Linked DNA regions of Callithrix jacchus. The protein of the gene in region 1 interacts with the protein of each later gene in a pairwise test. Links are inferred from orthologs where the notes say so. Each region holds a gene or a part of one and is shown on either strand. Other genes may lie near its edges. The genes, in order: STX4, NAPB, STX6, VAMP4, BET1 and CYBRD1.

Evidence for each region.
Region 2: the proteins of STX4 (region 1) and NAPB interact in binary tests that used the Homo sapiens proteins (3 or more experiments, as listed by UniProt). The two-hybrid records come from large-scale screens. The link is inferred for Callithrix jacchus from reciprocal best matches to the Homo sapiens genes STX4 and NAPB.
Region 3: the proteins of STX4 (region 1) and STX6 interact in binary tests that used the Homo sapiens proteins (3 or more experiments, as listed by UniProt). The two-hybrid records come from large-scale screens. The link is inferred for Callithrix jacchus from reciprocal best matches to the Homo sapiens genes STX4 and STX6.
Region 4: the proteins of STX4 (region 1) and VAMP4 interact in binary tests that used the Homo sapiens proteins (3 or more experiments, as listed by UniProt). The two-hybrid records come from large-scale screens. The link is inferred for Callithrix jacchus from reciprocal best matches to the Homo sapiens genes STX4 and VAMP4.
Region 5: the proteins of STX4 (region 1) and BET1 interact in binary tests that used the Homo sapiens proteins (3 or more experiments, as listed by UniProt). The two-hybrid records come from large-scale screens. The link is inferred for Callithrix jacchus from reciprocal best matches to the Homo sapiens genes STX4 and BET1.
Region 6: the proteins of STX4 (region 1) and CYBRD1 interact in binary tests that used the Homo sapiens proteins (3 or more experiments, as listed by UniProt). The two-hybrid records come from large-scale screens. The link is inferred for Callithrix jacchus from reciprocal best matches to the Homo sapiens genes STX4 and CYBRD1.

The regions. Positions count from the first base shown.
Region 1 is NC_133513.1:30,559,933-30,564,820, forward strand, and holds the start of STX4 (syntaxin-4), read left to right. Parts: upstream 1-1,825; 5' UTR 1,826-2,094; coding exon 2,095-2,124; intron 2,125-2,301; coding exon 2,302-2,403; intron 2,404-2,492; coding exon of another isoform or gene 2,493-2,514; coding exon 2,515-2,614; intron 2,615-2,749; coding exon 2,750-2,824; intron 2,825-3,259; coding exon 3,260-3,330; intron 3,331-4,888. UniProt on the Homo sapiens protein: Plasma membrane t-SNARE that mediates docking of transport vesicles. Necessary for the translocation of SLC2A4 from intracellular vesicles to the plasma membrane.
Region 2 is NC_133506.1:30,400,097-30,404,461, reverse strand, and holds part of NAPB (beta-soluble NSF attachment protein), read left to right. Parts: intron 1-213; coding exon 214-282; intron 283-648; coding exon 649-699; intron 700-2,639; coding exon 2,640-2,750; 3' UTR 2,751-4,365. UniProt on the Homo sapiens protein: Required for vesicular transport between the endoplasmic reticulum and the Golgi apparatus.
Region 3 is NC_133519.1:39,308,973-39,313,809, reverse strand, and holds the start of STX6 (syntaxin-6), read left to right. Parts: upstream 1-1,668; 5' UTR 1,669-1,920; coding exon 1,921-1,955; intron 1,956-4,837. UniProt on the Homo sapiens protein: SNARE promoting movement of transport vesicles to target membranes. Targets endosomes to the trans-Golgi network, and may therefore function in retrograde trafficking.
Region 4 is NC_133519.1:30,967,786-30,972,784, reverse strand, and holds the start of VAMP4 (vesicle-associated membrane protein 4), read right to left. Parts: upstream 3,148-4,999; 5' UTR 2,967-3,147; intron 1-2,966. UniProt on the Homo sapiens protein: Involved in the pathway that functions to remove an inhibitor (probably synaptotagmin-4) of calcium-triggered exocytosis during the maturation of secretory granules.
Region 5 is NC_133512.1:55,613,148-55,618,054, forward strand, and holds the start of BET1 (BET1 homolog), read left to right. Parts: upstream 1-1,614; 5' UTR 1,615-1,623; coding exon 1,624-1,720; exon of another isoform or gene 1,721-1,808; coding exon of another isoform or gene 1,809-1,827; intron 1,828-4,907. UniProt on the Homo sapiens protein: Required for vesicular transport from the ER to the Golgi complex. Functions as a SNARE involved in the docking process of ER-derived vesicles with the cis-Golgi membrane.
Region 6 is NC_133507.1:58,008,710-58,013,593, reverse strand, and holds the start of CYBRD1 (plasma membrane ascorbate-dependent reductase CYBRD1), read left to right. Parts: upstream 1-1,900; 5' UTR 1,901-1,972; coding exon 1,973-2,165; exon of another isoform or gene 2,166-2,387; intron 2,388-4,884. UniProt on the Homo sapiens protein: Plasma membrane reductase that uses cytoplasmic ascorbate as an electron donor to reduce extracellular Fe(3+) into Fe(2+).

The DNA.
Region 1 (4,888 bases):
CTCCCGGGTTCAAGCAATCCTCCCATTTCAGCCTCCTGAGTAGCTGGGATTACAGGCACCTGCTATCATGGCTGGCTAATTTTTGTATTTTTGTAGTGATGGGGTTTCGTCACATTGGTCTTGAACTCCTGGCCTCCCAAAGTACTGGGATTACAGGCATGAGCCACTGTGCCCAGGCTGAGCTGGGTTTTAACAGGAAAAGAAGAGCTAAAGCCCTTCACATAGAATCAGATAGCACTCGACAATTTCCAACCTCATCATCACTGAAGTTTAGAGCAGGGGATACCTATAATGATCTCTCCATCCCCCTAGTTACCCACTGTACAGAGGGAGATCAAGGCTTAGAGACAGGAAGCGATTTCCAGAAGTCCATAGCAACTCAGTCCCAGGAATCTAGGCTTCCTGACCAGGTCATAGCAGAAAGGGTCCATTCCTTCCCCTACTTGTACCTTCACAGAAGCTTCCTGGAGAGCCCTGGGTTCCAGGAGTCCATTATTCATTCCTGGCTATGCTGAGACTTGCTGAGTGACCTTGGGGACTCCTCCTAGAGAATGTAAGTTTGACGAGTGCAGGAATTTTTGTCTATTAGTCCCTGATATGTCTCCAAGTCTAGAACAGTGTTTGGTCCATAGTATGTGCCCAATAAATATCCATTAAGCGAATTAATGTTGCCTGTAATCCCAGCACTTTGGGAGGCTGAGGCAGGATTGCTTGAGCCCGAGAGTTCGAGACCAGCTTGGGCAACATAATGAGACCTCACCTCATGAAAATTTTTAAAAATAAAAAACGAGTGAATATCTAGATAGCCAGGGTTAGGGAAGTGTTACAGTCAGAAAGTCTGAAACCCAAAGAAGACCAGGAAACTGGGGGCTTTATCCTGAGATACATGAAAGGCTAAAATTTTGTGCACAGTTATTTACAGAGGGCCCATTATGTGCTTGGTAGTGAGCTAGGAACTCCCCAGATTCAGTTAAGAACGAAGTCATGACCTGATCTCAGATGTAAGGTAGGGGCTGGGGGGTGTGAGTGGTAGGGAGGCAGCGTGCTCAACAATACAGACACTTTTCTTAGCCTGAGCTGCCCTGACATGGTCTGACTGCTCAGAGGTGGTGAGTGCAGCCGGGCTGCCATGTTCAAGGAGGGCGCCGGCCGCCCACCTACCAGAGGCTGCGCCAGGAGGATGCGGGAGATTTCTGCCTTGGGTGAGGTCACCTCCCACCCCCAGATTCCCTGCTCACACAACCCTGCAATTTTCTGACGCTGACGGCTCGGATATTATTTCCCGATTTTCGAGGTCCCATGATGCTGACAGCCCCAAATGCTAAGTGGTCTGCCCACGTTCCTGGACCCGAAAGCAATAAAGGCGAAGTCATCAAGGGTACACCCACCCACTGCCTCAAAAGGCCTCTGGGGGTGGTCGGCGCGCCCCTCCCCACCTCGCGGGGGCTGTGTGGGCGTCGTTCGGTCGCTGGGGTGCCGGGGACTTCGTGATGAGAACGGCGTCCCAGAGACCGCGGTGACAGAGCCGGGACACGTGACAGTCACAGCGTCACGTTCTGCGGTCCGCGAGTTTGGGAACGGGCTGGTCACGTGATGCAGTGGGGGCATCATGGGGTGATATGAGATGCGGGTGTCTCGGCTTACGTACAAATGACGTACTCCTACGCCTTTTGGCAACCAGATTTCCGTTGGAAGTTGCAACGGTTCCGGTGAGGGGGGCGGGTTCTCGCGTCCAGGCAGCTCCGTTTCCGCTCGGGGCGCAACAACTTCCGACTCCGCCTTCCCCCTCCGGCGAGGAAGAGACGCGACCTTGTGCGCATGCCCCGAATTTATCACGGAGGGGCGGGGCTGAGGCTGAGAGAGCAAGAGAGGGGAAGAAAAGGGAATTCCAACCTGTGGAACCTTAGTGGTCCCCGGGGTCGGCTCCTTCCCATTGACTGTGGGTGGTGCAAGGGACAGAGCGTCTGGCGGCTTGTGGGGGTGTTGAGGTCCGCACCGGGAGGGAGGGGAGTGTCAGAGTGTGAGTGGGGTACGGGAATTCCAAACTTGAGGGCCTCCTGGCTCAGGCGCCGAGGAGGGAGAGCTCAGGCCGCCATGCGGGACAGGACCCACGAGCTGAGGCAGGTGAGACATGGGGGCAGTGGAGATGTTGAGGGGCGGACGAACTGGAACGCAGGACTCCTGATCTTCAGGGCGGGGAGGGATGGCTGATGGCCAGGAAGGAAAGTCCCGGAAGCCTGTGGGTCGTGCGGGGTGAGAGCCGCAGCGAAACAGTGGTACCAATGACTCCGGGCCTCGCAGGGGGATGACAGCTCGGACGAAGAGGACAAGGAGCGGGTCGCGCTGGTGGTGCACCCGGGCATGGCACGGCTGGGGAGCCCGGACGAGGAGTTCTTCCAGAAGGTAAGGGGCTGGGGTCTCTGCCTGGATTCGCGAGGGGGTAGGAAGACCCGAGGACCAGCGTGGTCTGGAGTACCCCATATCTCTTTCAGCCCTCTCGGTCACCCTCCCCAGGTCCGGGCAATTCGGCAGACTATTGTCAAACTGGGGAATAAAGTCCAGGAGTTGGAGAAACAGCAGGTCACCATCTTGGCCACGCCCCTTCCCGAGGAGAGTGAGTGAAACTCCGACTGCAGGGCGCATGCACCACCTTAGGGATTGTGGGGGTTGTAGTCCCACATAGGTGATTGCCAGGGTGGTTTGTTGAGGTGGGAGCTGCTGTTCGGAGTCGTGGTCTTCTCTTATTCAGGCATGAAGCAGGACTTGCAGAACCTGCGCGATGAGATCAAACAGCTGGGGAGGGAGATCCGCCTGCAGCTGAAGGGTGAGCTCCTGGGACCTCAGACAGATCCTTCCCTTTGATCCTGCCCTGTTGTTGGTGTATCTGGGGAGTGTGTGGCCCAGAGAAGCCGATGATATAACCAGGTCACACAGCAGGCCTGGGTCTAGCATCTCTGTCTCCTGGCCTCCAGGCCATTGTACTCTCCACAGGACAAGCCGGCCTCTCAGGTTCTTTTATTTACAATGTAACCATTTACTTACACAGTTATTGCAGCCCACTGGGCATTCTTTGGGCAAGAGGATGGGGTTTTGTTAGGTGGCCTCTGCATACCTATGGGAACTCAGTGATGTAATGCAAAGAAAAATAAACGTACTTTCTCCTCTTGGAGGCTCAGCCTTAGTCATTTTATGATAAATTATATTTCCCTAAAAATCCATGGAAACAAGTACCCCCAGTACTCCATGTGTCTTCCCACAGCCATAGAGCCCCAGAAGGAGGAAGCTGATGAGAACTATAACTCCGTCAACACAAGAATAAGAAAAACCCAGGTGGGTTTTTTTTTCTCAGAAATGAGGACATTTCAGCAAATGTTTCATGAAGTACTGGATGACAGATGTATGAAGGAAGGGCCTGCAGAGATGGTGGAGTCCAGCGGAATGATTTTCCAAATGGGGAAACTGAACTCAGAGAAAGAACTTGCTCAAAGTCAGGAAACCAGGTCTCCTGATGCTTAGTCCGATTATAATACCCTGCTTTATTTTCTTTCATTCAATAAGAAGTTGCTATGACCCCAGACAAGACCTAGGTTTGGCTGTAGGGACACATGTTTCTTTTACTTTTTTTGCCTCAGCCTCCTGAATAGCTGGGATTACAGGCAGACATCACCATGCCTGGCTAATTTTTGTGTTTTTAGTAGAGATGGGGTTTCACCATGTTGACCAGGCTGGTCTTGAACTCCTGACCTCAGGGGACACTCCTGTCTCAGCCTCTAAAGTGCTGGAATTATAGGTGTGAGCCACCATGCCTGGCTGGGACACATATTTTCTAGGAGTCAAGATGAGGAGTTCAGGTTCAATAAGGACAAAGACATTACTCACGTAGGACTTGGTGATAATGGTGCTGCCCAGGGAAAGAGAGAAGTCATAAATGACTGGCAGCTTTCCTGCCTATGTGACAGGGAGTCCTTAGTCCCACAGGCAGAATTCAAGAAGGCAGGAAGAGGAACTTCCCTGGGGCGACACTGAAGAGGAACTTCCCTGGTGTGATATCTTATATTTTTAATTATTATTTTTTTGAGATGGAGTCTTGCTCTGTCACCCAGGCTGGAGTACAGTGGCAGGATCTCGGCTCACTGCAACGTCTACCATCTGGATTCAAGCTGTTCTCCTGCCTTAGCCTCCCAAGTAGCTGGGATTGCAGGTGTGCACTACCACACCTGGCTAATTTTTTTATATTTTTGGTAGAAATGACGTTTCACCATGTTGGCCAGGCTTGTCTTGAACTCCTGACCTCAAGTGACCTACCTGCTGTGGCTTCCCAAAATGCTACGATTACAGGTGTGAGCCACTGTACCTGGCCTTTGGGGTGATGTGACTGGCCCTCTCTGGGTCCCCAGTGAAAAGTACTTTAGGATTCTAGGAGGTCAGGGTTGGAAGTTAGGCCCAGGGTTGGAAGTGAGGACCCCAGATTGAAGATGGAGCAACTTGGGCATCTTGGAAGGGTGCAGCCGGATCCAGGAGAGTAGATGTATCTCTGGAAACGAAACTCCAAGGAACGAACATATTTAAGGCCTCAGGAGAAGGGGCAAGGCAGAGCAGATGACCTATAGCCAGTGCTTCTGGGGTAACCTGTGGTGCTGATTGGCATGAGAGGTCAAGGGCCCATGTGGGCTTGTTGCACCTGTTTTGCCTGGGCGGCATGTTCATCTCTAGGCTTATGAGCACAGTTGTGGTATAAGCAGCAAGGTTGGCATTCAGCAAGTGCCAGACCCTTTTGGAACTGTTTAGGATACAGCAGTGAACCAATGATCCCTTTCATCATGGAACTTCCATTCTGGTGTAGAGAAACAATCACCATAATACATAAGTGAATTATTTAGACATAATA
Region 2 (4,365 bases), on another chromosome or scaffold:
GCTGCCTAACTCAGGAAAAAAATGGTTTAGAAATTAATTGAAATGGAAAATTCAGAATAGATAGATTTTCTTGTGGATTCTGCTGTTGAGTTTAACCATATACTTCTTCAACACTTAATAGCACATAGGTAGATCCTGTTTGAAGCTGATAGAATGCCAAAAGCGTTGTTTGTTTAGTAAGTCTGATATTGATGAGTGGTTTTTCTCTTTCAGCTTGCTCTTGAGAAATATGAGGAAATGTTTCCAGCATTTACTGATTCAAGAGAATGTAAATTATTGAAAGTAAGTAATATTAGGACTTTGAAGAAAAATGCCTTTACTCTGTCAGGTGGCAGCCCCTAAGTGGGACTGGGTATGAGGTGAAGTTGAATCTGTGAAGTCTGCCAACTGAAGGGCCCTGGTACCTTCCTGCTTTGGCATTATAGGTATTCAGATGCAACTAAGGTCAGGAATATATAGCTGTGTTCTGAAATAGGCAACTCAGAAATGCTGGTACAGGAGCTAGATCCCTAACTTGGGTCTTGTATTTGAGTATTTCCTCAACAGCGTGCAGTATTGGCGACATCAGTGCTACACTTAAAGTGTTTATTTAGAAATGGGACTTCATCTTACAAAAGTGTTTTTTTAAAAATATTTTTATGCTACCAGAAACTCCTAGAAGCTCATGAAGAACAGAACAGTGAAGCTTACACGGAAGCCGTAAGTTATGCTTTTGGGACATGGGACATTATTTGAGGATTTAAGCTAGAGAAACTTCTTTGCATTATGTAAATTCTAAACATTTATTTGAATATGACTCCGGCATACCTAAGTTGTATTTTCCAAAGGTCACCTTTTATCTATTTGCACAAATCAAACAGGTCCGTCAGCCATGCTGAGATTCTAGTTGTATTCAGTGCTGTTTCCTGACTTATACTTAAAACTAATTTAGCTGTGAAACGAGTTCAGGAGCAAATATTCCATATATATTCTTATAATTTGCCGTTTCAATTTTTTTTTTTGAAAATAATCTGACCTATAAGTAAGTATAAAGTAAAATTTGTTACTGGACGAAGGCTGAACGCAGTGTTTCACACTTGTAATCTCAGCACTTTGGAAGGCCACGGTGGGTGGATGAAGAGGTCAAGAGATCGAGACCATCCTGGCCAACATGATGAAACCTGTCTGTACTAAAAATACAAAAATTAGTTGGGTGTGGTGGCGTGCGCCTGTAATCCCAGCTACTCGAGAGACTGAGACAGGAGAATCGCTTGAACCTGGGAGGCAGAGGTTGTAGTCACTGCATTCCAGCCTGTGATAGAGTGAAACTGTGTTTCAAAAAAAAATTAGTTAAATATAATTTAAAATATAAAAACTAGTGAGAATTTGCTCTATTTATGGCATAAAATAAATGGAAGGTGGCCAGGCGCAGTGACTCATGCCTGTAATTCCAGCACTTTGGGAGGCCGAGGCAGGTGCATCATGATGAGGTCTGGAGTTTGAGACCAGTCTGGCCAACATGGCGAAACCTCGTGTGTACTAAAAATACAAAAATTAGCCAGGTGTGGTGGAGTGTGCCTGTCATCCCATCTACTTGGGAAGCTGAGGCAGAGAATCGCTTGAACCCAGGAGGTGGAGGTCGCAGTGAGCCAAGATCGCTCCATTGCACTCCAGCCTGGACAAGAGCAAAACTCCATCTCAGAAATAAATATATAAATAAAAAATAAATAAAAATCTTTTTTAAAATGAAAGTTTTTTTCTTTATATTTGTTTTTCCATCTTTTGCCATCTCATATTTAGAATCAAGCAAAAATAATTTTTTAATATGTTTTGAAACAGCCTCACTCTGTCACTCAGGCTTTAGTGCAGTGGGGTGATCACAGCTCACTGTAGCCTCAATCTCCTTGGCTCAGGTGAGAGCCTCCCACCTCAGACTCCTCAATAGCTGGGAATACAGGTGCACACTACCACACCCAGCAATTTTTTTTGTTTTCGTATTTTTTGTAGAGACAAGTTTTCACCATTTTGCCCAGGCTGGTCTCTTAACTCCCAGGCTTAAGCTCTTCACCTGCCTTGGCCTCCCATGGGGCAAGGACTACAGGCATGAGCCACTATACCCAGCCTCAGGCAAATTTCCCAGTAGCCTCCTATAACATGTTCATCCCAGCTCAGGAGTAAGAGTGGAAAGGAATGTTTTCCTAACTTTTGCCTACCCTGTCATTTTCATCCTATTGTAATTTTAATCTGTGGTACTGTATCGAAATGTGTGAAAGGAATTCCGCTTCCAGACATTGTAACTCTGCACTTAATGTTTTCCCATGTTCAGTGAAGTATAATTTTTCATACTCCTTTAAAATTTTTATACAAAGTTGTTTCTTTTGTCACATTAATCATGACCGATAATGAATTTTTGTCATACACGTGTTTGAAAACAGAGAAATGTCAAGCCCAGAAACCTGTCACTAGTACCATCAAAATAGTAACAGGATAATGAAAAAATAAACAAGTTTTTAGTGAAGAAAGTTATAAACTGAAATGATTAATTTCAAATGCTGAGGAAAGTGGATGATGGTTGTAAATGTATAGACAGCTTGGGTACTATTATTTTCTGTTTTTAATGTATCACATGGGGTGATTCCTGCTCCTCTTTTTTATACCAGGTGAAGGAATTTGACTCAATATCTCGCTTGGATCAGTGGCTGACCACCATGTTGCTTCGCATCAAAAAGTCCATCCAAGGGGATGGAGAAGGAGATGGAGATCTCAAATGAAATGTTTCCGTCTTCGTGGCATGCAGCTAACTCCTCTTTAGTTTTGTCTTAGGGTCAAGTGATCTTTATGGGATGCCCATTTAATGGCTTAATTTTGTTGCATATGAGCCAGACGACCTGTGTATTGTTTAAACTTGTGGAGTCTATATTGCTGTGAAGTGAATGAAGGGGAGGCTCCTGTTCATCTTGTGGTAACGATAGGTTTCCCGCTTATCAGACCCCCAGCGTTTTCTGCGAAGTACTTGAGAATCTCATTCCTCATATTTCACTGGTGTTTGTGGAGCCCGTGTTTAATGTTGCCACGTGTTTTTATGTCCTTTTTGTTGGACTTGAGGACTCAGCCCAGTTGTTCTCGTAGATGCTTTGCATTTTCTCTGTGCTTTGGCATCTGGATATGTTCTTTAAATGTGTGTTTAGTTTAGGGCAGTGACTAGGAATGAGTTTATGACTTTATTGGAAATCATTTGTATTTTTGTTATCCTGTGATTATTTCGATGGTGCTAGTGACTAGTTTCTTTGCTTTTTGTGTTCTGTACGCTAACACGTGCATGGCAAAAATATAGAATGGCCAGGGTCTGTAGGCATTACACTGTGAGGAAAGGAGCTCTCTGGAAGGACTTGCTTCATGTATGGATGAGTGTCAGAGTGAACTTGATTTGCACTCACCCACACACACACACACACCCTGCAAGATCTATTAGAAATGGAATTTTCTGTTTTTCTGGAGATAGTTTTCACTTGTAGTTGGAGTGAAATCCCTTTATGTTTGCGTTAGAGTGTTTCAGTTGGCACAGCCTGCTCATCATTTTCATGTTTATATACTACATTGAGGCAATGTGTTCTCTGCTGTGGCTATAGAAATCTTGGTCAGGCCTGGATAGATTAAGTCAGGCTGAAGAATGAATGTACGTAATTTTCACATTTATTGCACATAATGGATTAGGTGGGGTGAATGTGGTACAGGAGTGGACTTTATGCCCAAGTGGGCAAGAACCCCAACTTGTTTCTCAGGGGACTTGATTGTTCTCTTAGCTGATGGAATATTTTGGCTTGTTGGAACTCTGTCATGTTTAATTGGTTTATATAATATATATGTGCTATCTTAATTCATGAACTTGATTCTATTATTTTATATGCTGATATTGTACTTTAGACATAGACTTGTCCTGTGACTGTCTTTTGCATATTTTATAGTTAAATGGTTTATATTGGAAATGTGTTTGTTGCAAGACTTAACCCAGCAGACACTTTGATAACACGGATCTTCACTGATGACAGGTGACGAAACTTCCTGTGTTATGTCAGGCAGTAGCAAGCAGTGTTGGAATGACATTTTCACTTTTGGTGGCTCTCAACTAGAATTGGTAGGATTTTATTGCGCTGAAGTAGAGTGAGTGTTTCCAGGCCAAGGGTTGAGTGCAGGGTGTTTGAGGAATGGTGAGTAGGTCAGTCTAGGAAGAAAGAGAAAGTAGCAGGAAATGAAGTGGGAAAGGCCAGCCAAGGCCAGATAGAGGATCCACATCTGGTGGCCACGAGGACTTGCTGACCATAGTTCTGGTGGGAAAGGCCAGCCAAGGCCAGATAGAGGATCCACATCCGGTGGCCATAGTTCTGG
Region 3 (4,837 bases), on another chromosome or scaffold:
TTTTTTTTTTTGAGAAGGAGTCTCACTCTGTTGCCCAGGTTGGAGTGCAGTGGCATGATCTCGACTCACTGCAACCTCTGCCTCCCAGGTTCCAACAATTATCCTGCCTCAGCCTCCCAAGTAGCTGGGATTATAGGCATGTGCCACCATGCCCAGCTAATTTTTTGTATTTTTGGTAGAGATGGGTTTCACTGTGTTAGCCAGGATGGTCTCAATCTCCTAACCTCACGATCCTCCCGCCTTGGCCTCTCAAAGTGCTGGGATTACAGGCGTGGGCCATTGCACCCAGCTACATGCATTTTTATTTAACTATCATAACAATCCATGAACTAGCTATTATTATTTATGTTTTGTAGCTGAGGAACTGCATGATAGAGCCAAGGTTTGTGTTTCTCCAAGGACTGTGCCATCTCCAGAGACTGGTGACTTTGGGCAAGTCACCTAACCTCCCAGGGTCTCAGATTTCTCATTCATAAAATGAGGATGATAGCAGTAGTTATAGCATTGTAAGAGCAACTGAGATAACATTTAACACCCTGCCTGACACACACACAGTAAATGCCCAATGATTTTCAGCAGTCAAAGTCCACATCCCCATCCACAAACTCCACAGCATATCTAGCCTGAGTTGGTTAATTGTTCTGGCCAAAATGTTTTCTGGAATTGTTCTTGAACCACAGTGAGATGAAGTTGTCATACCTGGCCCCTTCTTTATTCCTTGAAGGTGCTCTCTCCTGGGAAACGCCATATGCTGTATGAAAAATTACTTTACATGGTTATTTGCAGAATATACAGCAACAGAAGGTACACCCCATCTGGTGGAAAGTGCAAAGAATCTGCAGTTCTGCCCTGTCCAAGCTGTGTGACTACAGGAAGTCTTGAAGCCTCTCTGAACTTATTTTCTCATCTACAAAATGGGGAAAATGGATGGGTGTGGTAATCCCACCACTTTGGGAAGCAGAGTCAGGAGGATCATGTGAGTTTGGGAGTTTGAGGCCAGCCCAGGCAATATACTTAGGGCCACATCTCTACAAAAAATTTAAAAATTGGCCAGGTGTGGTGGTGCTCACTTGTAGTCCCAGCTACTCAGGAGGCTGAGGTTAGAGGATCACTTTAGCTCAGGAGGTCGAGGCTGCAGTGAGCTGTGATTGTGCCACTGCAATCCAGCCTGGGTGATAGAAAGAGAGCCTGCCCCCCAAAGGATACTGAAATGATGCATATACAACCTTTAGCACACTGTCCAACACAAAGTTAAGACTTAAAGGATCTGTGTAACATCATAATTAGATACCATGCTTCACTGTAAGTCTAGGGCCAGATAGAGATATAAATTGCATACTGTCAAAATCAGGTATTAAAAGTAGAGGAAAGGTAAGAGGATTTTGCAAATCAGGTGCAACTGCAGCTTATCCTGAAAAGCCGACTGCCTGCCTCTGAGGGAAGAAGCCGCTCCTCACCCTCAAGTGTGAGGGGAGGGCGGTAGAAGGCCTCCCACCTCCACGGCCTCAGGGCTCCGCCTCCAGGGCCGTGTGACGCATGCCCAGGCCCCGCCCACGAGGGGGGCGGAGCAGGCCCTCGTCACGTGACTGGGTGCGGAAGTCGTGCTTCAGGCGATGTTCGTGATTGGCTGCGGCCGAGGTTCCCGGGGGTTGGGTCAGGCCCTCCGACGCGCCGGGAGGAGCCGGGACGCGAGGCTGCCGCTGGGGCCGGCTCTAGAGTCCTGTATTCGGCCGGTGGTGGTGAGCGAGTGCTGGACCCGCGGCGGTCCCGTGCACCTGGCCTGCGCGACTGCCCGCGGCTCGGCGTTCTCCAGGCTAAGACGCGGGCAGCTGCGGGAACAGGCGCGGTGGGCGGAAGGAGGCCGGGAGGCACGGGTGCACTGTGCGCCGAGGAGGTGGAGGCGGCCGGGGCCGGGACGCCATGTCCATGGAGGACCCCTTCTTTGTGGTGAAAGGGTGAGTGTCGGCCGAGGGTTCCACCGGAGAAAAAGGTGGCGGTGCTGCCTGCCCGCACCTCCCCGGTCTTCTTGCAATAGGGGGAGGGGAGACAAGTTGAAGCTGGGGAGGGGACAGTGGAGACGGCTTAGCCTCGAGGGCCGTGACCAAAGAGTCCAGAGACGTCCCCTCCATCCCTACCTGGACCGTGAAGCCGCTGTCCCCAGCCAAGCTCCTGGTGGTGGTGGGGCCTTTTTGGCCTGTGCGCTGGGGTTCAACTTATTTGGGGAGGGGGGTGCAGGGGCTCAGCAGCTCTGCAGGTGGTGAGAGAGACCGGAGGGTCCTGGCTCACAGTGGCTCTCCAGTCGAGCATGAGACCTTGCTTGGAAGGAGCGAAAACAGCATCTGGGCAGGAAAAGGGAAATGGCCCTCCTGAGCTTTGTAGTTCGCCTTGACGGGAGTGAGCTCCATTGTCCATTGAGTTTGGAGCGCTGGCCCGCAGACTGGCTAAACCACAACAAGCCCAGAGGCGTCTGAGCACGTTTGCAGGGAGGGAGGCGGGGGAGCAGGGCACCGGAAGACAATTCAATGGGGGAGTTTTTACTGAGTAAAGTGAGGAGAGGAAAGCAGTCGTTCATACTCAGTGATGATTTGGAAGGAAAACAAAATGAAACGAGCCAAACCAAACTTTCCTCAACTTTCTATTAGCAACCGGAATTTTCTCACAGTGCTAAAGGAAATGAGTGTTGCTTGTTAACTCCTTGATTTCATCCAGGCTGTTTGACAGGTTTCTCTCATTTCTTCTGCCTTTTAGAATAGAACTGCCTTCTGTTCCCTTGTAAGCTGCCCTAACTCCGTCTTTGATTGCTCGATTGTTTCTTTGGAGATAGAAACTTCAATTGCACTTTGGAGCCATTAAACAAATGCGAGAAGATCAATTCTGATGTGACTTTGTTTCTTATTAGAAACGTGTCAATTTTCTGTTTTAAATGTCAAACGTGAAAAATCTGAAAACTGCAAAGTTCCCAGATCAGTACTGAGCACCATAGAATGTTCCTTGCTTCCAACTAGTTGCTGCTGTCTTCCTGTTTCTGCAGTAGTACAAGCTGGCTATTGTTACATTCGAGTGTTCTAGAAAATTTAAATGGTACTTTAGGTGAAATACTTTATTGATGCAGTAAAATACACTTATACTACTTTTTTTTTTTTTGGTGACATTCTTGAAGAGTGTGTGTGTGTGTGTATATATATGTACATATTTTTTTCCACTTATACTACATTTCCCTGAAAAGATTTTCCTTCACCTAATTTAGATGGGAAAATGCTGAGTTGTAGATTTACTGGTAATACGTGGCTCCCTACCTGGAAAATGTGGTATTTATTAGAAGGATTGAGTTAGGGGTTAATTTTTAAAATAGATGTGTGTTTTTCCTTTGAATGAAAGTTGTTGCTGTTTTGAGATGGAGTTTTGCTCAGGCTGGAGTGCAATGGCGCGATCTCGGCTCACTACAACCTCCGCCTCCCGAGTTCAAGTGATTCTCCTGCCTCAGCCTCCCTCACCGCCCCCCTCCAGCCCCAGTAGTAGGCATGCACCACCATGCCCGGCTAATTTTGTATTTTTAGTAGAGACTAATTTTGTGTTTTTGGTAGAGACGGGGTTTCTCCGTGTTGGTCAGGTTGGTCTAAAACTCCTGTCCTCAGGTGATCCACCCGCCTCGGCCTCCCAAAGTGCTGCGATTACTGATAGGCGTGAGCCACTGCGCCCGGCCTTGAATGAAAGTTCTTAATGCTTAGGTTGGCAAAGGTTATCTCTGGCAATGGAGATCAGAGATGATCAGAAATTTGTTTTGACTTTTCGTGGAATTTGTCAAAAACCAAAATTGTTCTGCCATCTTGGCATTTTTTTTCTTGATAATATCCAATACAGTCTACTAATGCTTGCCGCTGATTAAATATCACTACTTTATAGGAACATTGGCTTGGAGTTTGGATTGATTTTTACATCATTTTAGCTCCTGTCTTTAAGGTTCCTGAAGGAAAAGAGATTCTCAGGACCTTCTGCTGTGGAAAGGTAAAGTCACCCGTGAAGGTGTCTCCACATTTTTGGGGAGTCATGCACCTGCATTTATTAAAAGTATCAAAAATGCATTGCACAGTATGGAAAAATTAAAGGTGCCTAAATTATGGCCCATAACCTAGGAGCTTCTAGTCTAATCTGAGAAATTATCCCAAAATTAAATAGAAATAACAGATGGCAAATGATTAAGTGTTGAAGTGAATGCTACAGATGATAAGTGCCCCAGGAGTTCAGTGAAAGGCAATTCCTTGAGAATGGTTAGGATTAGAAAAGCTTTTGGAGGCGGTAGTATATCTTGAATTAGGTTTTGTAGATAATCAGGCCTGTCCCTCTTATCTGGATGCTTATCAAAGAATCTTCTAGTTGGTCTTCCTGCTTCTGATCTTATTTCCTCTTTTAGCTGTCCTTGGAACTATTGGATCAATGCTGTCCAATAGAAGTATAATGCCAGTCACTTACATCATTTTACATTTTCTAGTAGCCATAGTAAAGTAAAAAGGAACAGATAAAGTTAATTTTAACATAATCGCTAATACATTCAAAATAGTCAACATGTGATTAATGTAAAGATTATTGATGAAATAGTTTACTTTTGGTCTAAGGCTTCTAGATCTAATGCATATTTTACACTTAGTGCACATTTGAATTTGGACATTAAATTTTCATCAGAAATAATTGATCTGTATTTAAAGTTCATTAAACTTACAGTTGAAAAATGAATTCACATACTTTTTTTTTTTTGAGACAGTTTTGTTCTGTTGCCCAAACTGGAGTGTAGTGGTGCAATCTCTGCAACCTCTGCCTCCCAGGTTAAAGCGATTCTTAT
Region 4 (4,999 bases), on another chromosome or scaffold:
AAAATATTCTGCAAACTATAATGTCCCATTGATGCTCCATTAAAAGGGGTAAGTTCGGTAATATTGTGATTTATAAAATGTATTTATTTGGTCTTAATCCCCATTTCCTGACATATCCTCGGAATCCCTGCAGTGATGTGTCCTGTGTATGCTAATAAGACGACTGGTAGCTTAGCCCCTAGATATATTCAAGATGGGAGGCTGGTCACAGAAAAACCTAGGCATGATTAGAAGACTGGGACTTTTCAGTCCCACCTGCTAGCCTCCTGGGAAGGGAGGCAGCCTCAAGGTTGAACTGATTTCCAATGGCCAATGATGTAATCGATCATGTCTACTAATGAAGACTCCATAAAACCCAAAAAGGACAGGGTTCAGAGGGCTTCCTGATAACTGAACAAGTAGAGGGTTCCTGGATGGTGGCACACCTGGAGAGGGCATGGAAGCTCTGTACCCCCTGCCCTATGCACCTCTTCAATCTGGCTGTTGATCTCTATTTTTTTGTAATATCCTTTATAATAAACCAGTAAATAAAGTGTTTCTCTGAATTCTGTGAGCCACTCTAGCAAATAAATTGAAGACAAGGAATTTGGGGAACTCTGATTTATAGCCAGTTACTGGAAGCACAGGTAAAAACACCTGGAACTTGTGATGGGCACTCGAGGTGCAGAGGAATGTTGCAAGATTAAGCCCTCAACCTGCAGAATCTGATGCTATCTCTAGGTATAAAGTACCAATTGAATTAGAGGACACCCAGCTGGAGAACCTGATGCAGAATTGCCTACTTGCTCATGAGGAGAAATCTTTTTGGGGTCAGAGGAGTATTCTCTGTTGAGAGAGACTAGGAGAAATTCAGTTTTTCTTTCATCAAAACAACTGGATTAAACAAAGCTAGTTTTCTTTACTACAGAATGACTCAAATCCTCTTACATGCTAAATGCATTGTGACTTTCTAGGAAAATGCTTGCATATGCAACATATTAAAATTTTTTTTAAGAAAAAGTTGTTCTATGCAAATAATGAATTTTCAGTATTTTGGACTAGATGGTAGATGAATACCCAGCAATTAAGGATAGCTCAGAAATACTGAATGTTTTACTATATGCTAGGCACTGTGCTCAGTGATACACATGCATTTTCTTTTAGTCTTTATGATGCTTCTTTGAAGTAGGCACTAAGAAACTAGTAGAAAACTAAAGTTTAGTAACGATAATGTTAGTCACTACACTCATTGAAACGGCAGAGATACAGGCCTAAATCAATCAATGGCAATCCATTATCAGTTTTAATTATTTGTTCAATTAGTTGCCCATCAGGTTTACAGAATTCTGTTCTAGAGAGACTCATTTTCCGGTAACAACCCAATAGTCCTGTTTCCTTGCCCACAAGAAGCAGCATTTAGACCTTTAAATTACGTAAAATTAGACATCAGAAAGAATAACCCCAAAGTCTGGTTTCCTAAACCAAATAAAAGTAATATTTTAAGTTAGCTACTTGTCAAAACAAATGGACACAAACACTCTTCTTTGATAAGAAATGCTTCCAAATCAGAAATTATTCACTTGTAACAAAAAACAAACTCTTGCTGCCTAACAGCTCTTGAGTTCTTGGTTCCACAGTATTTGTCACATACATCTGGCCCTTTTATTCCTCACACTTTGATTTCAGAATAATTCATTTATGCAGAAATGTAACAGAATGCATGGAAAAAACAGATGACAAAGCAAATTACTGAAGAACTTGTGCTTTTAACTATATCTGTATTTAGATTTTAACCCCATGCATAGAGGCTGCCTCAACACCCCAAAGCAAACAACAGGCAGACTTACATAATGCGTTTATGAGACATATAGTAAAACTACAATCTTAAGGATGGGCAAACCTCATATTCAGGTCTCTCAATCCCAAGAAACCATGTCCAACAGATAGAAAACCCATCCGCAAAGCAGTAGACAGATTAATTAGCTACCTTGATGAAATCTGATGTTATTTGCAACTACTGATTATTTATTAGTATCTGATGATACGGGTATCCAACAACTAGTAGAAGTAAATAATGCTCAGAAAGGAGACTAGGATAGAGTCTGCTTAAGATTTCCCCTACAAAAAACATACGTGAATTCAGGTGTTGGTGACTAGGAATACATGTAAATAAGAGAGCCATCATGTACTTCCACATTGAGGACAGACCACCACTATACAATTCACTTACACAGTCACATCACCGTATGCTTCTTATGCATCAGCATATACTTAAACGTTTATGTATGAATTTTTGTAAGCAGTACGTTATTTAGTCAATAGCTTTGAATCTGGGCAGAGGCTCTCCTTTTCCCAGCCTCCATTCCCTTTTTAACTCCTCTTCCTTGTCTGTCATCAGCGTCTTGCTCGATGCAGTTTCATAGAAATAAAGTAACTTGGATGGACACAGACCAAAGATGTTATTAGCAAAACCTGTCAAGTGTAACGATTCACCCCCACCTTCTGGTCATTACAAACACAGCAGGGTTGGCGCTCTTTCTCCCGAGCCCTTTAAATACACAATTCGAAGCAGCTCTGCTCACCCCCCAACACCCAATCTGTCGCACCAGGCCACGTCCCTCGAAGTATCTGCTCCTAACGTTGGCCCTTCCTGCCCCATGGTACTCCCTGGCATTCCTGACTGCCTCCCACTCTTAACAAACCTTCCCCATCCATGGCACTGTTCTCTCCCCATCGCCCCAGAGTACCCCTCAATTCCAATTCTTCTCCCCTCAACTACTCCCCGTCCGCACACCCCTGTCCTCGTCTTCCTTCCTCACGGTACCCCCGGCCCCAGCTTTTTCCCACTCTGGGGTCCCTTCCTAGATCCCCGAGGCCGGCTAACCAGCCCAACTCGGACGTCGAGGGGCGGCGAGGCAGGGGCGTCATCTTCATTTCCTCCCTCCTCACAGCAGCCCCTCCGGCTGGGAACAGGCCAGCGCCAGTACCTGAGGCTCCCGGGGAACTCCCGGCAGCTCTCCCGGGCGGGCGGTGCTGGACGGGCGGGGGAAGGAGTGGGAAGCTGAGGTAAAAAGCTGGGAGTGGGGGGACGGTGGGTGCGGATCCGGCGTCGGCCGCAGCTCCGCAGCAGCGCCTCCGCTCACCGAGCCGATCGGCGCTCGGCGGCCTGGCGCCAGGCGGAGGGGGCGGGTCCAGGGCGCGGAGATAGTCGAGGAAGTCGATTCCGCCGGGCGCTCTTCACCTGGAAGAGCCCTGACCCTCAAGGATTTTAGATGCAGCTCCTCCCTGTGCTTTAGGGGATGAGTGACCACTGGTTCTCCAGGTTCCGGTCGGGATCCGGCGTGCGTGGAGGGCGTTTATGGGAGGGATGGGAAACTCAGAACTGCTCGGGTCGGGGTGCTGGCTGGGGTGATAAGGCGTTTACAAAGAAGGTAGTGCTTTGTGCCAGATCCGTCCCTCGGGCTGACTACGTTGGGTGGCAAGAGGAGGGTGGCTTGCGGCTCGAGGACCTGCTTCTGTTTCGTCTGGGGCCTTTTCTGAAGAAAGAAGTTCTGTTTGATCCCCTGTTTGCAGAATTAGAGCTGGACTTGGAAAGAGATTTTAATGGTTCCTAGGTCAGCCTCCTTTCTTTAGGTAGGAGAAATATCTGGTTCAGAGAGGAGATTGACTTAAAGTTACACAGCTAGTTTAGATAGATAAGGGACGGCGGCTCCGTGTTCTTTTCCCGGTATCCGTTAGTTGTAACCTGAAAGCCTTCAGGTTTCAGGGAAATCGCCCTTGCCTGGCCATTCCGCTGCTCTGCCCATGCTTCCCTCACTCCTTCCTCCTCCGCCCAGTTTGGTATCATATTTAGATCTCCAAGCCCACAGATGCTGGCTACCAAAAACAATTCCTAATTTTGTTTTTCCGTTCTCTTATTTATTATCCATTCCTCCCACGCCCCAGCTGGAGTATTTTACTCATTCAATCATATATCCACTATACATCTTTTAACATTAATACAGTATTTATGGGTCCTTTGTTGATATAGTATTTTAACTGTCTGAAATACCGTGCCAGGCTCTCTCCAAAGACAAAAATAAGGGCGTGTTCAGAAACAAAAGTAGACCAGAAAACAGCAGAAGATCTGAGGACACTAAAGGAAGAAATAGACACCTTCATAAAAAAGTTGCTCTTCGTTTGATGTGTAATTTTATGCAAACATGCACTAACGAATTTGAAAGATGCCATGACTAGGGCAATGATACTCAATGCTAAGTGATTCACTTGGAGTTGAATCACCTGGAAAGCTTTTAAAACCACTGTGGGTGGGGGGGCGGTGGGGAACTACTGGAAAACTTTTTAAATCACCTGGAAAGCTTTTTAAACTACTCAGGTGCCCACGTGCTACCTAGATTCTGATTTAAATGGTCTAAGACTTAGAAACAGCTGTCGGGTTTTCAGTTGAAGGTTCTAAAAAACTTGATGTTAAACTCAGGTGTCTGTGTTTATTGCTCCAGAGCCCGGCTGACTTGGACTGAAACGGCCCACCTAGAATAGAAGCCTCTCAAGGTTTGCATCTCTGTCTGGGCATGACAGTGGGACTACTCCTAGTGACCCAGACATTATTTTTTCTTCTACAGATTTTTTTTTTGAGACAAGTTCTCACTTTTTCCCCTAGGCTGGAGTGCAGTGACATGATCATAGCTCACCACAGCTCTGAACTCCTGGGCTAACGTGATCTTGTCTGTGCCTCCCAAGTAGCTGGGATTACAGCCATGAGCAGCTGTGCCCAGCACTTACAGTTGATTTTATATCTGCATATTTGCATGTTATAGAATACTTTCTGGCTTTGGTGTCTTAGCCAATTAGAGCTTTAGCTAGTTATAGCCTCATCTCTTATACATAGACAGCTTAAGGTGTGATCAGTGAGCTCTAATAGGCGCATAGCTTTTATGCATAATCCAATCTTTGTTGTTTTGTTTTGTTTTGTTTTTTTTAAACCATGATTCTTTATTACTGCCAGTCATTTTGGAATGAT
Region 5 (4,907 bases), on another chromosome or scaffold:
TAATTCATTTTCTGCACATTAAATTCATCTTTCCTGCCTCATCTTTTCAGTGTATTTTTTTTTCAAATGACATTATCTCTAATTTGATACTGGCAATGGTAGCTAAAAACAATAATTTGGATTTTTTTAGGTAACAAGCTCAATATGAACTAGCTTTGCCTTACTTCAGTTATATTCTTAGTACATTACATATATTTTTTCCTTTTAACTACATTTCATTCTTATGTCTTCCTACCATGTAAAGGAAGAATATATTTTAGGTAATTCAAATGATTAGTTTTGGTAAATATTAACTGATTTTCAAAAATGACAATTTCTACATTTTCTATCAGCAAGCCTTCATTAGGACAATTTTTAAACATGTTTCATTATAAAACATGCATTTTTTAATCAAACAAAGGACATAGATTAAAAGTTGTAATGGGATATCTAGCTATCATCTATTACTGAATCTCCATCTTTTATTTGTAATTGTCCCTGATTTTATCCTCATTTAATTCCATTGCTTTTAGAAAATGGCGTTTTAATTTTAACGAAGATTTTTTTTCCTATGGAAACCTTATTGAATAAGTCTTCCTTCTCAGGTTAATAACTCTCATTAAAAGTAGTTTTCATGTGTTTTATACAAAAACAACTTAATGCAGAGACTTGTGCCACTATTATGGTCAAGGTTAATAATGTCTTGGGAAACTATGAGAAAATACTAAATGATCAGAGATCACGTATTTGTGGAGTGGAGACGATTCCACTACCATACATATGGCAGCAACAACAAAACTGGAGATACCCAGTGGATTTTGATTACCTACTGTGTATCAGATTTTTCTTTCTCCGAAAACCATGATTACCGTATTCTCATGATAAATAATCCGGTGAGACAAAATGAAATTCTAGGATTAACCCTGATACCAGCAACATCTTCACTCGCCAACAAGCTTTTAAACCCCCAAACTGGCTCAATGCCTTGTGTAAGCAGTATTTCAATAACATTTGCGTAAGTTAAAAAAAAAAAAAAGTTAAGTGGGAGGGAATTTAGGGGTCCTTTGTTCCCTATAACAACTAAAAGTCTTGGTTCCTCAAATACAACAGATGCAGTAACAGTAACGGAACTATTCAGTGTCTCCTATGAGACCCCACGCTTTTCCTGGGCTGCTCCCATCTGAGCAGGAGTCTTACTCCAAGGAACCTGGTTTTCTCTCCTTTACTGGATACATGAGGTACAAAATCTGTTACTTCTGTGGATGTTGGATTACTTGTTTGTAAACTGAGAAACGTGGACAAAGTCTTCTCTAACTTTCCCTGCACTACCTCTGGAGGTAAGAGAGAGTACAAGGCTCAATCAGGAAAGTTATCCCAATCAACCTCTTGTGGGCCCGGAGGAGGAGATCTGTTAAGTTAAACTTGGTGGTCAATAAACTGAAAGCAGCGACCCGGAGGGCCGCGAGACAAGCAGCGGGGATGTTGGATAAGAAACCCAGAGTTAGAGCCGCAGCCGAAGCCGCCCCCTTTTCCGGAGCCCCGTCCGCTCCTGGAACCGGGTTCACACCACGCCACCTGCGACACGTTCTGCGTCAGTGAACTACATTTCCCAGAATGCCATTCAGGCTTCTTCCCAGGGCTCCAATGAGCGCCCTAGTGACGCCATCAGTCGGCTCGGTGTTTAGAATCTACAGCTGTCGTGGCGCTTTGCTGGAAGAAGTTGGTGTTCCGCGGGGCCCTGGTACTGAAGACGCGGTTCGGGTCACCCCTAGCTCTTTCCTACCCACCTAACCCCCCGCGCCCGCCTTTTTCCTCTCTCCTCTGGCAGGATGAGGCGCGCAGGCCTGGGTAAGAAGAGGGCCGAGGTTCGAAGTTCGGGGCCCTAGAACCGGCCATGCTGGGCGCGGGAGCGCGGGGGCGCGGGAGCAAATCGGAGCTATCTTTTGTTCTTGGCATTTGGTCCAAAAAGCAGGATCTTTAGAGGGTATCTTTTGGGCCTTGTCGAGTGGAAACACACCATTTGTCCCAGATCCTAGGAGTTTCCTTAAGTTTGAGTCAGATTCAAGTTTGGATGGTAGGCTAGAGAAAGCATTGGACTGGGGTGGGTGTGTACAGGTGACATCTCAGTGGTCGAGTGTTTTAGTGTTATTGACTGAGCTTGGTTATGGACACTGGTGTGTTTTACAAAGCCCGACTTCGGTTTCTGTTTCTCTACTGGCCCTGGATCTTTGTTTCTTCAGAAGCGGAATTTGAAGAGTGGGTAGTTGCACGCAAAGCACACTGATAATGGTCGTTAATCTGGTAACAGTGAGTTACAAAGGTAAATGTACGTGTCATTACTGTTAAAGGTCCTGGAACTGTAACATCTGGGTGAAAGGCGATTTCTTATCTGAACCTTGTGCCATGATTAAGGCAGTAGAATGTAGTAAGGTTTGGTATCTTAACATTTGATCTTGACCTTGGGGTTTAGGAAGCTGGCTCACCAGCAAGAATAAGTTAGGCACAAGGAATTTTAATGGTCCTCTATAGTAACATACAGCTATTAGAGCAGCGTTTTCTGGTTCTGAAGCTTTCTCTTAGGACAGTATTTTTTTTTCTAATAAGACTGCTACATTAGAGTGCTGTATACTTCAGAAAATAAATGAAACATTTGCAAAAAGATAATGTTATCTATCTCAGTCATTATAAGATTTAAAAAAAAAAAATTCCAAAAAGTGTCAGATATTTAAAGTCAATGAAAGTTGCCAATAACTATAGACTTGTTATCGATTAATAAATTGTAGTATGAGAAAGTTTTTTTTAATGAAGTTTTTATGACTACTTGGATCATAGAAAGAATGTAGGGCCAGGTACATTGAAGAGAAAAAAAAATAATTTTCAGCAAGTTTAGTTTTATATACCTAAATGTTTTTCTTGTTCATCATCATTAATGATAAAAAAGGATTTATTGTGTGCCTGAGTAAGCTCTAGGTTTACAGTTGTTTGCTGCCCTCTTTGTGCTCCCCAAAGCTTCCAGTCTAGGTGTGGAGTAGGAATATGTGCAAAGATAACTTATAGTACAAAGTAGTTGCTATATATCCAAATACCAGATAAGTTCTGCATATAAGTGATGGTCTCAGAGGCTTCAGATATAGATCACTGTATACTTTGTGGAGAAGATCCTTGTGTATCTTGTGGAGACTTAGGAATTTGAAGTAGACCTTGAATAATGGAGAGTGGGGGAAGTGAGTTCCAAATGGGAACTCAAAAAAGTAAGGGATTATGACTAAGCCAGTTTGGTTGAAGTAGGGGATGAAGGATCACACTGTGGAGATCTTTGCATGTGAGGCTGAAGAGTGGATTTCATGGCCAAAGAGTTTGGATTTCATCAGTAGGCCTCTAGGCCCTTTGGAGTATTTTTCTGTTGTAGTATGCCATGTTAAATTGCAGGAAAATGACTTGAGAAATGGTTCTCAGCCCCGGGAAGTTTTAAACTTATTGTTACCTGGACCTCAGCTCAGCCAGTTAAATTAGAATCTCACTAATTTAGAGCCCACTACCCCATACTCCTTTTTTTTTTTAAAGCGCTCTCCTGTGATTGAGAGGAGAGGTGATTACTTAGGTAACTGCTATTGCTATAATTTATATTGATGTGAAGTGACAAAGGCTTTTTTTACACATTTTTTTCTTTTCTTTTCCCTCCCTCCCTCCCTCCCTCCCTCTCTTCCTCCCTCCCTCCCTTCCTTCTTTTCTATCTTTTTTTTCTTTTCTTTCTTCTTTTTGAGACAGAGTCTCCCTCTGTTGCCCAGGCTGGAGTGCAGTGTTGCAATCGCAGCTCACTGCAGTCTCCACCTCCCAGGTTCAAGCAATTCTCCTGCCTCAGCCTCTCAAGTACTTGGGATTACAGGTGTGCACGACCACACCTGATTAATTTTTGTATTTTTTAGTAGACGGGGTTTCGCCATGTTGGTCAGGCTGGTCTCGAACTCCTGACCTCAGGTGATCCACCCACATTGGCCTCCCAAAGTGCTGGGTTTACAGACATGAGCCACTGCGCCTGCACTTCTTTTCATGTTTTTAAGTATCAATGTATATTGATCTGAAATTTTAAATTTGGGATTGTAGTGAATCTGATAGATATTCATAGGCAGAAGCTGTCACATTCATATGTGTCTCTAAATGGTTCTGTTAGCTTACTGATAGAACCTATCCAAAAGAAGAATCATTTTTCTAAACTAACAAAGGCTGTGTATGATCTTCAGTACCCGCTAGCTTTTTTACACCTTTCATAGCAGTATACCGCCAGAAGAGAAGTGGCTCTGTTCAGAATAGCAATTCTAGCATTTTATTTGTTTTTGTTTTTTTGTCCATTGTATTTGGGGTGGCTCATAATTTGAGAGAACATCAACTCTTTAATAGGAGAAATGTGCATTAACATATTTTTGTACAATAAACAAGAATTTCACTTTGAATAAATAGAACAGCATGGAAGCACTCTAAAATTAAGATAGGCAAAAGCAACTAAACAAAGGAAAGGAAAAATAGCTATTAATTTAGAATGAATTTCTTGGTGACGTTGTCAAATGATTGAATTCAACCAGTCAGTACTTATTGGGTAAATGTTATGTTATATACTCAGAACCTCAGCCACACAAAATAAGAAGACATTATTCTTTCTTTAAGTATCTTGGCCCATATTAAACTAGAGTTTGCACAGAGTATTATTGATTAATAGAGGGAGAATGCAGTTTTAAATGGTGATTTTAATTGACTGAGGGGAAAAATATGCACACTCCTTGAGTTCTTTTATAATAACACATGTGGAGCATTTCATAGATAGTGTGTCAGCAGGAAAATTCAGATAGTACAACTCTCTTATGTTTGGAAAATACTTCTTCAATATTTTGTTGTGTTTTTTGTGGTGTTGGATATTGCCTAGGTATCTGCTG
Region 6 (4,884 bases), on another chromosome or scaffold:
TCAACAGCAAACTGCAAGTAGTTTTATTGCAGGGTAAGGCCAAGCCCATTACTGCCCATTCTGTTTGTTTTGTTTTGAGACAAAGTCTAGCTGTCACCAGGCTGCAGTGCAGTGGTGCAATCATAGCTCTCCTGAGCTCAAGTGAGTCTCTCGCCTCCACCTTCCAAAGCCCTGGACTTACAGGCGTGAGACACCTCATGGAGACCCGGTTTACTGTTGTTTTTTGTTTTGTTTTGTTTTTTGTTTTTGTTTTTTTGAGACAGGGTCTCATTTTGTCACCCAAGCTGGAGTGCAGTTATGCAATCTCAGCTCACTATAGCCTCGATCTCCTGGGCTCAAGTAATCTTCCTTTCTCAGTCCCCCAAGTAGCTGGGGCTACAGGTGCATGTGTTTTTTTAGTAGAGACAGGGTTTCGCCATGTTGCCCAGGCTGGTCTCATCAAACTCCTGGGCTCAAGTGATCTGCCTGCCTCAGTCTCTCAAAGGGTTAAGATTACAGGTGTAAGCCACCGTGCCCAGCCTTTACTGCTAACTTAAAAAAATTACAAATTTGAAAAAGGAGGAGACTTTATTTCTTATATAAGGTTATAGCCTATAAGATGACCACTCTGTAGGCTGATAAACACAGCCTCTGGCCTAAGACCAGAGAAAGGCACTTAGAAGGCAGAGGGGTTGGGATAGGAACTTTATGCTGACAGTTTGGTCAAACATTCATATTTAACAGGTTAAAGGAGGAGCAATGAATATTAATGGCGGTGGTCCTGACACATGCATCTTGAACAAACGTGTATGTAACATGGTCTCTTTGGGGTGGAGACTTAACATTTAAATGTATTACAAATAGGCCCTATACTTCAAAAGGTCTTTTCAGGACGTGAATGCACACAAGCACACAATCCCTGTAAACTGCCCAGAACAGTCCGTGGTTCTGGTGGTCTTATCAGGAAAAAGTTTCTGAAATCAGTCTCTTGTCCAGTGAAAGTTGTAGTTCTGGCTGGTGGAACAGGGGTTCGGCTGGTGGAACAGGGCTTCAGCTGGTCAGCGTCTGTGAGCTGAGCTGTAATTGTTTTAATATTGTTTATCTCAAGCCAGTGCTTGTTTAGCTGCTAGAGAAAAAGAAAAAGCTTGTGTCAGTGAGAGCAAAGTTTATTCCTTAAGCGTAGGAATATATGACTTAGGTCCTGTTTATAATTGAATGCCTTATTGCTACAAAGACTCTGTTCTGTCAGACTTACGGTTTCTATTTTAAACATTAATGCTAGTCAGCTGTTTAGTCTAAATTCCAAAAGGGAGGGGATAGACTTCCTGACTTCCCTTCCAGTTGTGGCTAGAAACTCAGCTTTAAGGTTTTTCTGGGATCTGCTTGGCCATGGGAGTCCATTCAGTCAGTGAGGGGCTTAGGATTTTATTTTTATTTACACCACCCTATAGGTTCCTCCTTAACACCCTTTGATATTAGAGACAGCAAATTCTCTAGCACTGAGGCTAAGGAGGGTTCATCAGTGAAAAGCACACAAATAACTATCCAACTGATCCCTCTTTTCTCTTAACTTAGAGGGCGCACCACTGACAGACTCAGCCTCCCCACAAATAAGGACGAGAAACGGGAAGGGTGAAAAGAAAGTGGTGGGTATAAAATCCTCGGAGTCCTCTCTTCGAGCAACTAACTAGGTCTGTTACCGAAGCCCTCTGCGAGGTTGGATGCTGGGCGAGGGCGAGGGCGAGGCCACCACGCAGTGAGCGCACTCAGCGGCGGCGTGATCCCGGGGGTGGGGCCCGTTTCTGAGCCGAGGCCAGCTGCCCACCCCCAAGGGGCCCTACATTCCGGGCCAGCAGCCCTGAAAGTCCCTCCCCGCAGGCGGAGACTGCCCCAAGAAATTGACGCCCCGGGTCCGCCGCCCGGCCACTACCCAGAGGCTGCCGCCGCCTCGCGAAGTTCCTGTGGCCCCGGCGGTTCGGAGTATGGGGCGCTGATGGCCATGGAGGGTTACTGGCTCTTCTTGGCGCTGCTGGTGTCGGCGCTGCTCGTCGGATTCCTGTCGGTGATCTTCACCCTAGTCTGGGTCCTCCACTACCGAGAGGGGCTCGGCTGGGACGGGACCGCACTCGAGTTTAACTGGCACCCGGTGCTCCTGGTCACCGGCTTCGTTTTCATCCAGGGCATCGGTACTGGCACCTCCGGGGGTGGGGGGAGAGCGGCGGAGGCTGAGGGTCCTCCGTGAAGCCCCTCGTAGCTGAGGAAGTGAGGGAGGATGGCGAGGCCTGGAGGGGAGCGCTCCGGGAGCCCAGTCGGCAGGGCGGGAGGGCGGCTGGAGGGAGGCGGGCGGACTCTGGAGGCCGGAATGTGCTGCAGTTCGGGCAGATCGCTACGAGTTCGGGGTCTGGGGTGCACGGTAGAGACGCGCTGCTGGGGGCGGCGGAGCGTGTCCCGCCCCAGTTGATTAACTCTTCGCGGTGAGTGGCTGGGACAAATTGGAGACGCCTCCGAGACCCAGAAACTTGAGCCGGAGCGCTCTGCTGCTGGCAGCTCACTCGCCCCCGAAAGTTGCCCCCGTGGACCAAGCCTGCGTAATCCGGGCCGCGGAAACGCTTTGGCCTCAGCCTTTTGCTGAACTTGCTTCCAGGGTGCAGATGAGGAGGGGAAGGCAGCGGGGTAAAGATGGCTGGAGTGAGAATTTTGTAACATCCTTGACTCTGGGTGAAGGGGCTGGCCAAGGAGGGGCGAGTGAAGCATCCGCCCCGGGTTCCTCTCCTCCTAGAGCATTAAACTCCGTCGAGCCCGGGAAGTTGCCGGGACCCCAAAGAGTGTTTCGCCTCCCTGGACAGTCATTGGACGGTCTTGAGCCCGAATTGTTTGTGTGGTAGCCTACTGGCGCAAGTTCCCCCGCGGGGCTTCCTGTTGGGCACTGGCCCAGCACTTCGGGTGGGAGATGCCTGGAGAGGGCCCGTGGCCTCCTGGTACCGAGGGATGCCTCTGCTCGGGATGTCCCCGAGTTTCCGTGTTTGGCACGCGTCGAGCCAGCCCCGGGCCTGCATTCTTCCTGCTGAGGCTGGCGCGGGGGTGGGGCTCAGCAGTCGCTGGTAGTGTGTGTTGTCATTGTGTAGTGCCGCTCGCCATGTCCTGACAGCTTCCTTCGGGTTGCCTTGTGGCTGGAGGAACCTCGAGCTTGTGGCGCAAACATCGTGTATTTGCAACAGGCATGGCCTTGAGAAAGTAGTTAAAGGCAGCAAGGGGTGGACTGGGGTTATGTTGCAGAAAATAATCGAGAAGGGTAGCAAGGGTTTGGAAAGAGATGTCCACTGGCTGAATCTCTAGCTTTGCCTCCGGGTAGGCTGCCTTTTCTTCACCAAATATTTAACTCCCCACAAATGAGTGTGCAAAAGAGTGCTGACCTCATTCCTAAAGAAAAGTGATCTTGTCTTTTTTACTGGTTGTTTTCAACTTGTACTGCAGCTTTCACAAGTGTGGCCAGCATTCTCCCACTCTGGAATGTAGTGGAAGGTGTTACTAATCCTCGGTAGTCCAAGGCTTCCCTGGTATGAGATCGGCATCAGGGTGTGAGCACCACTGACCACATAAGTCATTTTGTTGCGTAATTCTCAGCTATTTTGCCACTACGCTTAAAAGAGAAAAACCTACTCAAGTTCCAAAGTAACAGTCACCAGAAGCACTCTTTCCTTCATGGTGGAGCCCTTGTTTGGCCCAGAGCTGTCTACACCTTGTTTGCTGAAAAAGTAGAACCCTCAGCCGGGCGCGGTGGCTCGCGCCTGTAATCCAAACACTTTGGGAGGCCGAGGAGGGCAGATCATGAGGTCAGGAGTTCGAGACCAGCCTGGGCAAAATGGTGAAACCCCATCTCTACTAAAAATACAGAAAGCCTGGCAGACACCTGTAATCTCAGCTACTCGGGAGGCTGATTCTGGAGAATTGCTTGAACCCAGGTGGCAAGAGGCAGAGGTTGCAGAGAACCGAGACCATGCCACTGCACTCCAGCTTGGACAACAGAGTGAGACTCCACAAAAAAAAAAAAAAAAAAGAGTAGAACCAGTCTCCTCTTCCACCCAGCTCTAAAGAGCAGCTTCTACTACCAAGAAACTTTCCTTCTAATACCAAGAATTTCCTTTGCTTCTAATACCAAGAAACAAAATCACTCGACTCTGTATGTCCCTCAGCTACTTCCTCAACTCTGTGCTTGAGAATATCTCTTGGAATATCTTCTTATAATTGAGGGTAAGGGAAACACAAGTGATATTACTCATTGCCTGACTTGCCACAGAGGAGAAAACGTCAAAACAGCTTACAGTGACTGCATGCTGTGAGTCCACTAAGTGCATGATGTCACATGTATGTAAGAGTAAAATGAGGCAGACAAGAGTTATGTAACTTACCCATGAAAGTTGTTTTCTTTTCAGTGACCTTATTGTCAAAGTTCGATTCTCTGCTTTTATGGTAATATACTTATTTTCTGCCTAATCTTCTTTTTAGAAAACCTGCATCTAAAATAGATTTTGAAACTCTTCATTCATATTAGAGTCCAATATACAGTTTTCCTAAAAGGTTTTTAAGTTACTCTAAACTTTGAACTTAATCTGTTCATACTTACTCTTGGACAAAAATGTGTAAATGGATATTTTGGCAATTGTCATCTGTTGCTCTTATGAAAATCTTGTTTTTGTTGTTGTTGTTTTGAGACAGAGTCTCCCTCTGTCACCCAGGCTGGAGTGCAGTGGGGTGATATCAACTCACTGCAACCTCTGCCTCCCAGGTTCAAGTGATTCTCCTGCCTCAGCCTCCCGAGTAGCTGGGATTACAGCTGTCTACCACCATGCCCAGCTAAGTTTTATATTTTTAGTAGAGACAGGGTTTCACCATGTTGACCAGGCT